Linked DNA regions of Nothobranchius furzeri. The protein of the gene in region 1 interacts with the protein of each later gene in a biochemical or structural test. Links are inferred from orthologs where the notes say so. Each region holds a gene or a part of one and is shown on either strand. Other genes may lie near its edges.

Region 1 (3,816 bases):
CATAGCATTGGCTCTGGAACCCAAGTCCTTGAGAGGGGTTGGACACTCTCCTTTGCTGGAGTTGCTCCGGGTGAGAGGCGGAGGGCTGGGGTTGGCTTTTTGTTAGCCCCAAGACTCTCTGCCTGTGTGTTGGGGTTTGCCCCGGGGGATGAGAGGGTAGCTTCCCTCCTTCGGGTCGGGGAACGGGTCCTGACTGTTGTTTGTGCTTATGGGCCAAATATCAGTTCAGAGTACGCACCCTTTTTGGAGTCTCTGGGACGAGTGCTAGATAGTGCTCCATCGGGGGATTCCATTGTCCTGCTTGGGGACTTCAATGCTCACGTGGGCAATGACAGCTTGACCTGGAGGGGTGTGATTGGGAGGAACTGATCTGAACTCGAGTGGTGTTTCCTTATTGGACTTCTGTGCAAGCTGCAGTTTGGTCATAACGAACACCATGTTCGAACATAAGGATGCCCATCGGTATACTTGGTACCAGGGCAGCCTAGGTCGCAGGTCGATGATAGACTTTGTAGTCGTATCATCTGATCTGCGGCCGTATGTTTTGGACACTCGAGTGAAGAGAGGAGCGGAGCTGTCAACTGATCACCACCTGGTGGTGAGTTGGATCAGATGGCAGGGGAAGATGCCACGTAGACCTGGCAGACCCAAACGCATAGTGAGGGTCTGCTGGGAACGCCTGGCAGAAGAACCTGTCAAGATGGTCTTCAACTCCCACCTCCGGCAGAGCTTTAATCGCGTCCCGAGAGCAGTGGGGGACATTGACTCCGAGTGGGCCTTGTTCCACTCTGCGATTTTTGAGGCGGCTGTTGCTAGCTGTGGTTGTAAGGTGGCCGGTGCCAGTCGTGGTGGCAACCCACGTAACCGCTGGTGGACACCAGAGGTTCGGGGAGCCGTCAGGCTGAAGAAGGAGGCCTACAGGGCGTGGCTGGTCTGTGGGTCTCCGGAGGCAGCAGACAGGTACCGGATAGCCAAGCGGAGTGCAGCAGTGGCAGTTGCCGAGGCAAAATCTCGGGCGTGGGAGGAGTTTGGTGAGGCCATGGAGAAAGACTATCGATCGGCTCCAAAGAGGTTCTAACAAACTGTCCGGCGCCTCAGGAGAGGAAGGCAGCAACTCGCTCACACTGTTTACAGTGGGGATGGGGAGCTGCTGACGTCAACTGGGGATATAGTCGGACGGTGGAAGGAATACTTTGAGGAGCTCCTCAATCCCACCTATGCGCATTCCAAGGAGGAACCAGAGCCGGGAGACCTGGGGATGGACTGTCCAATCTTGGGGGCAGAAGTTGCTGAGGTAGTCAAACAACTGCACAGCGGCAGAGCCCCGGGGGCGGATGAGGTTCGTCCTGGGTATCTCAAGGCTATGGATGTTGTAGGGCTGTCGTGGTAGACACGTCTCTACAACATTGCGTGGTCATCGGGGGCAGTTCCTGTGGAGTGGCAGACCGGGGTGGTGGTCCCCATCTTTAAGAAGGGTGACCTGAGGGTGTGTTCCAACTATAGGGGGATCACACTCCTCAGCCTCCCTGGAAAGGTCTACTCCAAGGTACTGGAGAGGAGGGTCCGATCGATAGTTGAATCTCAGATTGAGGAGCAATGTGGTTTTCGTCCTGGCCATGGAACTATGGACCAGCTCTATACCCTTGCAAGGGTGATGGAGGGGGCATGGGAGTTTGCCCAACCAATCCACATGTGTTTTGTGGATTTGGAGAAGGCTTATGACCGTGTCCCCAGGGTCATCCAGTAGTATGGGGTGGGTGGCTTTCTGTTAAGGGCCATTCAGTCCCTTTACCAGAGGAGGGTGAGTTTGGTCCGCATAGCCGGTAGTAAGTCGGACCTGTTCCCGGAGAGGGTTGGACTCCGCCAGGGCTGCCCTTTGTCACCGGTTCTGTTCATTAACTTTATGGACAGAATTTCTAGGTGCAGCCGTGGTGTGGAGTGTGTCGAGTTTGGTGGCAGGAGAATCTCGTTTCTGCTTTTTGCGGATGATGTGGTCCTCCTAGCTTCATCCAGCTCTGATCTTCGGCTCTTGCTGGGTAGGTTCATGGCCGAGTGTGAAGCGGCTGGGATGAGGATCAGCACCTCCAAATCTGAGACCATGGTTCTCGACTGGAAAAGGGTGGCTTGCTAACTCCAGGTCAGGGGAGAGGTCCTACCTCAAGTGGAGGAGTTTAAGTATCTCGGGGTCTTGTTCACGAGTGAGGGTAGGAGGGATCGGGAGATCGACAGGTGGATTGGTTCGGCGTCTGCAGTGATGCGGACGCTGAGCCGATCTGTCGTGGTGAAGAGGGAGCTGAGCCAGAAAGCCAGGCTCTCGATTTACCGGTCGATCTACGTCCCAATCCTCACCTATGGTCATGAGCTTTGGGTAATGACCGAAAGAACGAGACTGCGGATACAAGCGGCTGAAATGAGTTTCCTCCGTAGGGTGGCCGGGCTCAGCCTTAAGAGATAGGGTGAGGAGCTCGGACATTCGGGAGGGACTCGGAGTAGAACCGCTGCTCCTCCGGATCGAAAGGAGCCAGTTGAGGTGGTTTGGGCATCTGGTCAGGATGTCTCCTGGACGCCTCCCTGGGGAGGTGTTTCGGGCATGTCCTGCCGGCAGGAGGCCCCCGGGTCGACCCAGGACACGTTGGAGAGGTTACATCTCCAATCTGGTCCGGGAACGCCTTGGGGTCCTGCCGGAGGAGCTAGTGGAGGTGGCCGGGGAGAGGACAGTCTGGAGCTTCCTAGTTGGGATGCTGCCCCCGCGACCCGGACCCGGATAAGCGGAGGAAGACGACGACAAAGTGTGCATGTGCCGCCGGCAACTTCAGCAGATGATACGGTGGCTGGTAAGAGTCACCGCGCCTATACCGCAGCCACGGTAATCCACCGAGATAATATATTTTTTAAAAAACAAGACGGTTATTATTATCGTCAACTTTTTTACCGGGGTTTACCGCTACACCGGTTACCGTGACAACCCTACTTACTTCTGCATGGGGCTCAGCTCCACTCGAACGATGAGTTCTGTTTTAGAAGGCATGTGTTTGAACACATCGGCCTTCAGCCTCCTGAGCATGTGGGGTCCCAACATGTCATGGAGTTTCTTGATTTGGTCCTCTTTGGCGATGTCTGCAAACTCCTCCAGAAACCCTTCAAGGTTACTGCAAAAAATATGAACAAATGATTAAAATTCTGTCCCTGTGAGCTTCACCACAAAAACAAAACATAAAGCAACTAACTTGAATCTCTCTGGAGTCAAGAAGTTCAGCAGGTGAAAAAGCTCCTCCAGGTTGTTCTGAAGAGGGGTTCCAGTGAGCAGAAGTTTGTGTTGCAGTGAATAGTTGTTCAACTGCCTAAAGAACTAGAATTAGAGAGAAAAACAGGGAAAATGACAAGAAATCTCTGAAAATATGCTCATTCATAAAGCACAGCAAAGCATTGAGTATCTGCAGGTTTAAGGGAGCCAAATTTAAGACTTTGAAGGCTTTTTTAAGGCCACTTTGACCAAATTTAAGCTATGTTAAAAATTAAAGCTATAATTTCCAGCTATTGCCGGGAACCGGTGCTAACCACGTCGCGAACGTGGGATTAACCATCCAGTTACCATTAAACTTGCACTTCCTCATGGCGCAAGCTCCCACTAGCTTAATAAGCTAATGTGCTCATAAAAAAATTGCCCCCTTTCACAACTGAATGTGCACGGTTCCACTTATGTTAACATCATACACAAAAAACCTGAACACCAACTAGAAATTCACGAAAATTTTACAGAAATAAAAGAATCTTGTTTATTGGGTCTTTGGTCATTTATGACCTTTGGAAACTGTA
Region 2 (4,505 bases), on another chromosome or scaffold:
TGCAGCTGCTAATACAGTAGCGGGTGCAGCTGCTAATACAGTAGCGGGTGCAGCTGCTAATACAGCAGCAGGTGCAGCTGCATAGTTTTGCAATAAAAATGTTATGTTGTAATGGAATTCATGCATTAGTTTTTGTTTGCTTTGAACCCAGAGCAGACGTCACACGCCAGACGACATCAGCACTGCATACTTTAGTATTTGTTCATTTATCGTGAGTAATATCGATATCGCAATATTAAGCACGGTTATCGAATATCGCAGGTTTTCCTAATATCGTGCAGCCCTAATGTAAAGTATTTGTTGTACATTAAATCTCAACCGTGATGACTGACTTTTGTTCCTACTAAGAGAAAAAAAAATTGGTACGGACCAGAAAGTTCAAGTCCAACAACAGCTGATCCAATCAATGGAATCAACGTCTTTTATGAGTTCTGCTGGAACAGGCCAACAGCCAAACAAACCATTTTAAATGAAACTTTGTTGGGGCTCACAATGACCCAAGAGCCCTGATAAATGACCAGCCACACCCCCTTAATGAAGCCCTACAACAGGAAGACCAAGCAGAGCACTGATTGGTCAGTTGACCTTGATGTCTCAATGATGCTACATCATATGGATAATTCTATAAGCATTCAGGGGTAGTCTGGATAACCCCAGTCCACCCTAGAACGTTACGCCTGGATGTCTTCCTCACGTTCAACAAGGATGTTAGCAGTAGTTCGGGCTAGTGTTGTTGTGTGGTTAGCATTCTAACTACCAACATTTGTAAACTGCTGACGTTGAGGTGGGTTGGGACATGCAAGTTTCAGTTGGTTTGTCTATGACTATTGATCGTTACATAAAAAGCAGGTCGGAGACGGCACAGACTTTAGGAATGGTGCATCCGATCCCCCTAGCTCCCAATGTTCAACAAGATCAACTCTAGGATGCTTTAACATCTGTATAAATGAGATTGTTAAATTTGCCAGACTCAGCTAAATGTTTTAGTTCTATTGCTCAAGAAACAAGCTCTGTTCAAATCAAAGCTTCATGCAGGAAGGTCAAAGGTCACTGGTACACTAGGACAACAATCTACATTTCCAACAATTCCTGTTAACATCTCAGCTCGTTACCCCTTGAGGAATCTGAGGAAATGAGATATAGATGCTTTTGTGGGTCCATCACCTGCCTGGCTGACCCACCTGCATCCTAAAAGTCAACGACCCACCTCTCCCCTACCTGCCTTTCTCCTGCTTCCCTCCCTTTCTTGTAGATGGTGCAGCAGAGGACTCCCATTATGTAAGCCTCCCTACGTTCTGCCTGGCCCCTTTTCTCCCAGCCTTGCAACACCATCACAGAATGGCGCCTCCTATTGAGTAAGCAGCAGCCCCTACAATATGTCTGCAGCAGAGGGGGAGGGGAGTGGAGGAGAGAGTGATGTTGGAAGGGAGAGGAAGAGGAGGGAGAGAAGGAGTGAGAGAAAGAAATCATGGGGGGGGGAGTGTGCATGGAGGAAGAGAAGGGGGAGTGAGCGGGTAAGTGTAGAAGGAGTGCAAGGGGAGAGATGGGGGGGGGGGGGTGAGCCAGGGAGGTAAGGGGAGGGGGGGGGAGGCAGGGAGGTCAGGCACACAGAGAGGAGAGGGGAAGGGAGGACTGGGAGGCTGGAGGGACAGAAAATGGAAGAGGGTGAGAGAAAGAGAGGGCGATGCAGAGCAGGGGAGGGGAGAATAGATAGCCAGGGAGAGGCTGAGTAGGAGGGAAAGGAGGGAGAGAAGGAAGAGGACTGGGAGGAAATGCAGGAAGAGGCTGCTCTGCTGTGGCGATGGCTGCTGGCAGAGAACATGTTTCCCATTCTGCAGTGGTGCTAAAGAGAAAGAAAAGAGGCCTTGAAATCTTTAAATGCTGCCGAATAATCCAACAGGATGTGATAACCAATGTTCTCAACCCTCATGTTTACCATTCCTCCACGTTTACTAAGAGGTCACACTTCTTGTGACATCCATGTTCGCTTTAATAGAAGAATAATAGTCTTAAATGCCTCTGATGAGGTTTCACCACACGGCTCAACACCTGTAAACGGTATTAAAGGTGACAGGATGTCTGAGGGTGACCATGGCAGCACTGCTCCCCTTTAGAGGCACACACCTGAACTCACCTGTCTAATCACAGACAACCAGGACTCCCTCATAAACACTTCCTCACAATCGGGTTCAAAACCAAACTGTTTACACTAATGTGGTCACTCTCCTACAATCCCATAATAACCACAGGACAGATCGGTCGCTGTAGCAACGAACAGAACAAACTGTGGACCATCCGTGGTGTTCGTGATGAGTTAAATATCCAAGACAGCTGACAGAATCCAGATAGTTAAAAGCAAAAAGCTGCTGCAACTGACAAAGGAGGGATGGTGGTGCCGCGCTGAGCTAACATGCTAAGCTAACACCCAACAACATGGGTTGAAACGAAAGCTGTCGCATTTTCTCTTGGTTCTTCAATAACATCACGATGCGTTTAATTTAAGAATGAAACTTGTTTACCACCCCGACACACTAACACTAGCCACCACCACCCATCCCGTCCCGCAGGTAGGCAGCGGCAAGCGGCCACCATCTGTGGACTCTCCCCGGCATTAGGACATCCAGGTTTACCTGCTTTTACATCCAGTGCTCCCGTCTGAATTAAATGTGTCACCTCAGGATGACCGAGGTCGAGTATTCACGCTCCCGCTTGCACGGATATGTCGGTAATTCCCTCCCAGGTGCTTTGTGGGGGAGAAGTCACCCGGGCCGTCGGTCTACCTTCCCAGCCCGACAGCCCCTCAGCGACGAGGGCTATCCGCTTTCCCGTGGTCGGAGAACGGAAAGAGAGAGCTTCGGCGGGCGATTAAAACCTCCGTTTCCTGGAGCGGTGAAGGTAGACACATGTCAACTACCGACGTACTTTACACTCTGGTGAATTAATTAATTCAACTCTGATCGTAATTCTCTAACAGCGGGTTCCTTTTTACCCGTTCTCTCCCGACAGACAATACACATCCAGCCAACCAGCTGCCCTATCCAAAATGGCGCAAATCAAAGAAGCGGAAGTGACATATTCCTCATTAGCATAAATAATAAGACCAGGTCCTCGCTCTCATGATTGGTTTGCCAATCAGTTCGAACATTTAGGCAAACATCTGCTTAAAATAATAAATGCCTCCGTTGTCTTAAAGTTTGTGGACGGTATTGATTTCCTGTCTCTCTCTGCGGGGGTAAACAACCAGGCGCAGCAGTTACGTTTACGGTCCGGTAGCGGGCGTCCTGGTAGCTCCTCCCCTGCGGAGGCTCGGATGTGCACAGTGCCTCAGCACGCAGCTGGAGGCCGGGCCAACACTAGGTGGCGCTGTGATACCTCCATCCATTCAGCCGGGACTACTTTCCTGTAAGGTGGGACCGGACTCTGCATTTCTAGTTATTATAAAACCTCTTATTTGATGGTTACTGATGAACTTTTTCTTCTAAAATGTTTTAATACAAGTGTCTAGGGTTTGTTTCCAATTAAATGAAAAATACAGACATCTTCTCACACAAAAACCCAGATTATGTTCTAAACTACAGCTTTTAGCATGTTTCCTTTAATAGCAGACGTGGATTCCCAAAGATCTTAGATCCTTTAAGTGTTTCTTCCTGGATAATCCAGACATGTCCGTGATATTTTTGGGTATTTGATGTATGCCGACATTAAAAGTCTTACAAGTATATAAATGGAGTCAATTTCTAATTTTTGGATATGGCAGGTGTGATCAGTCTCAGGTTTCTGTTTCTTAAGTCAAGAGTTCATTTAAATTCGCATACAATTTCCATTGGATCAATTAAAAATAAACAAACAAGAGTCTACAATTAAAACGTGTTTATTTTTATGCATTTGCAAACTGTAATAATAAAGAATTCCAGAAACATTCTGCGATGGGATTGACAAGACTTGGGAATCACCATTTCTTCAGCATTCTGAAAACTACAGAAAAGAACATCTTCCACAGTTTTAACTGCTAACACCTTCCTTCTCCTGTGTTGTCCTGTCACCGTATGATTACAGAAAGTGGTGAACGTCTCTCTCTTGTTTTTAATTTGGTGAAACTTCTGTTTTAAAGACAAACTTGTGGAACGAGGAAAAAAAAAAGCTCCCAGAAGCTCTGAACATCGCTGATCACGTCGTGGCGAAGAGTGTGAGCAGTCCTCTCACAAATGACACGATCTCATTCCCTCCCAGTTTTGACTCTCCATAAACCCGATCCACAAAGGAAATAGGAACCTGCGAACGACGAGGAGAAAATAAACCTTAGTTTAATTTCAGCGGAAACGTTGAGAAGAACTCATACAAAGTACAAATATTCAAAGAACCCAACAGCGTGGTAGGTCAACACCTCTCCAATTGTGTAGTTGAGCTGTCTGGCTCGGACGATCATCTCCATCTGGAACACGTAACCTTTAGACACACACCGCTCCACCAGACTCTCCAGCACATTTTTCTTGTATAACCTTCCA

Evidence for each region.
Region 2: the proteins of chd4b (region 1) and adnpb form a complex in vitro, tested with the Homo sapiens proteins (2 studies listed by BioGRID). The link is inferred for Nothobranchius furzeri from reciprocal best matches to the Homo sapiens genes CHD4 and ADNP.

Annotation. Positions count from the first base shown.
Region 1 is NC_091745.1:74,018,022-74,021,837, forward strand, and holds part of chd4b (chromodomain-helicase-DNA-binding protein 4), read right to left. Parts: intron 3,350-3,816; coding exon 3,228-3,349; intron 3,150-3,227; coding exon 2,976-3,149; intron 1-2,975. UniProt on the Homo sapiens protein: ATP-dependent chromatin-remodeling factor that binds and distorts nucleosomal DNA. Acts as a component of the histone deacetylase NuRD complex which participates in the remodeling of chromatin.
Region 2 is NC_091755.1:48,128,762-48,133,266, forward strand, and holds the start of adnpb (activity-dependent neuroprotector homeobox b), read right to left. Parts: upstream 2,838-4,505; 5' UTR 2,631-2,837; intron 1-2,630. Other genes in the region: dpm1 (dolichol-phosphate mannosyltransferase subunit 1), read right to left, coding at 4,168-4,272, 4,385-4,499.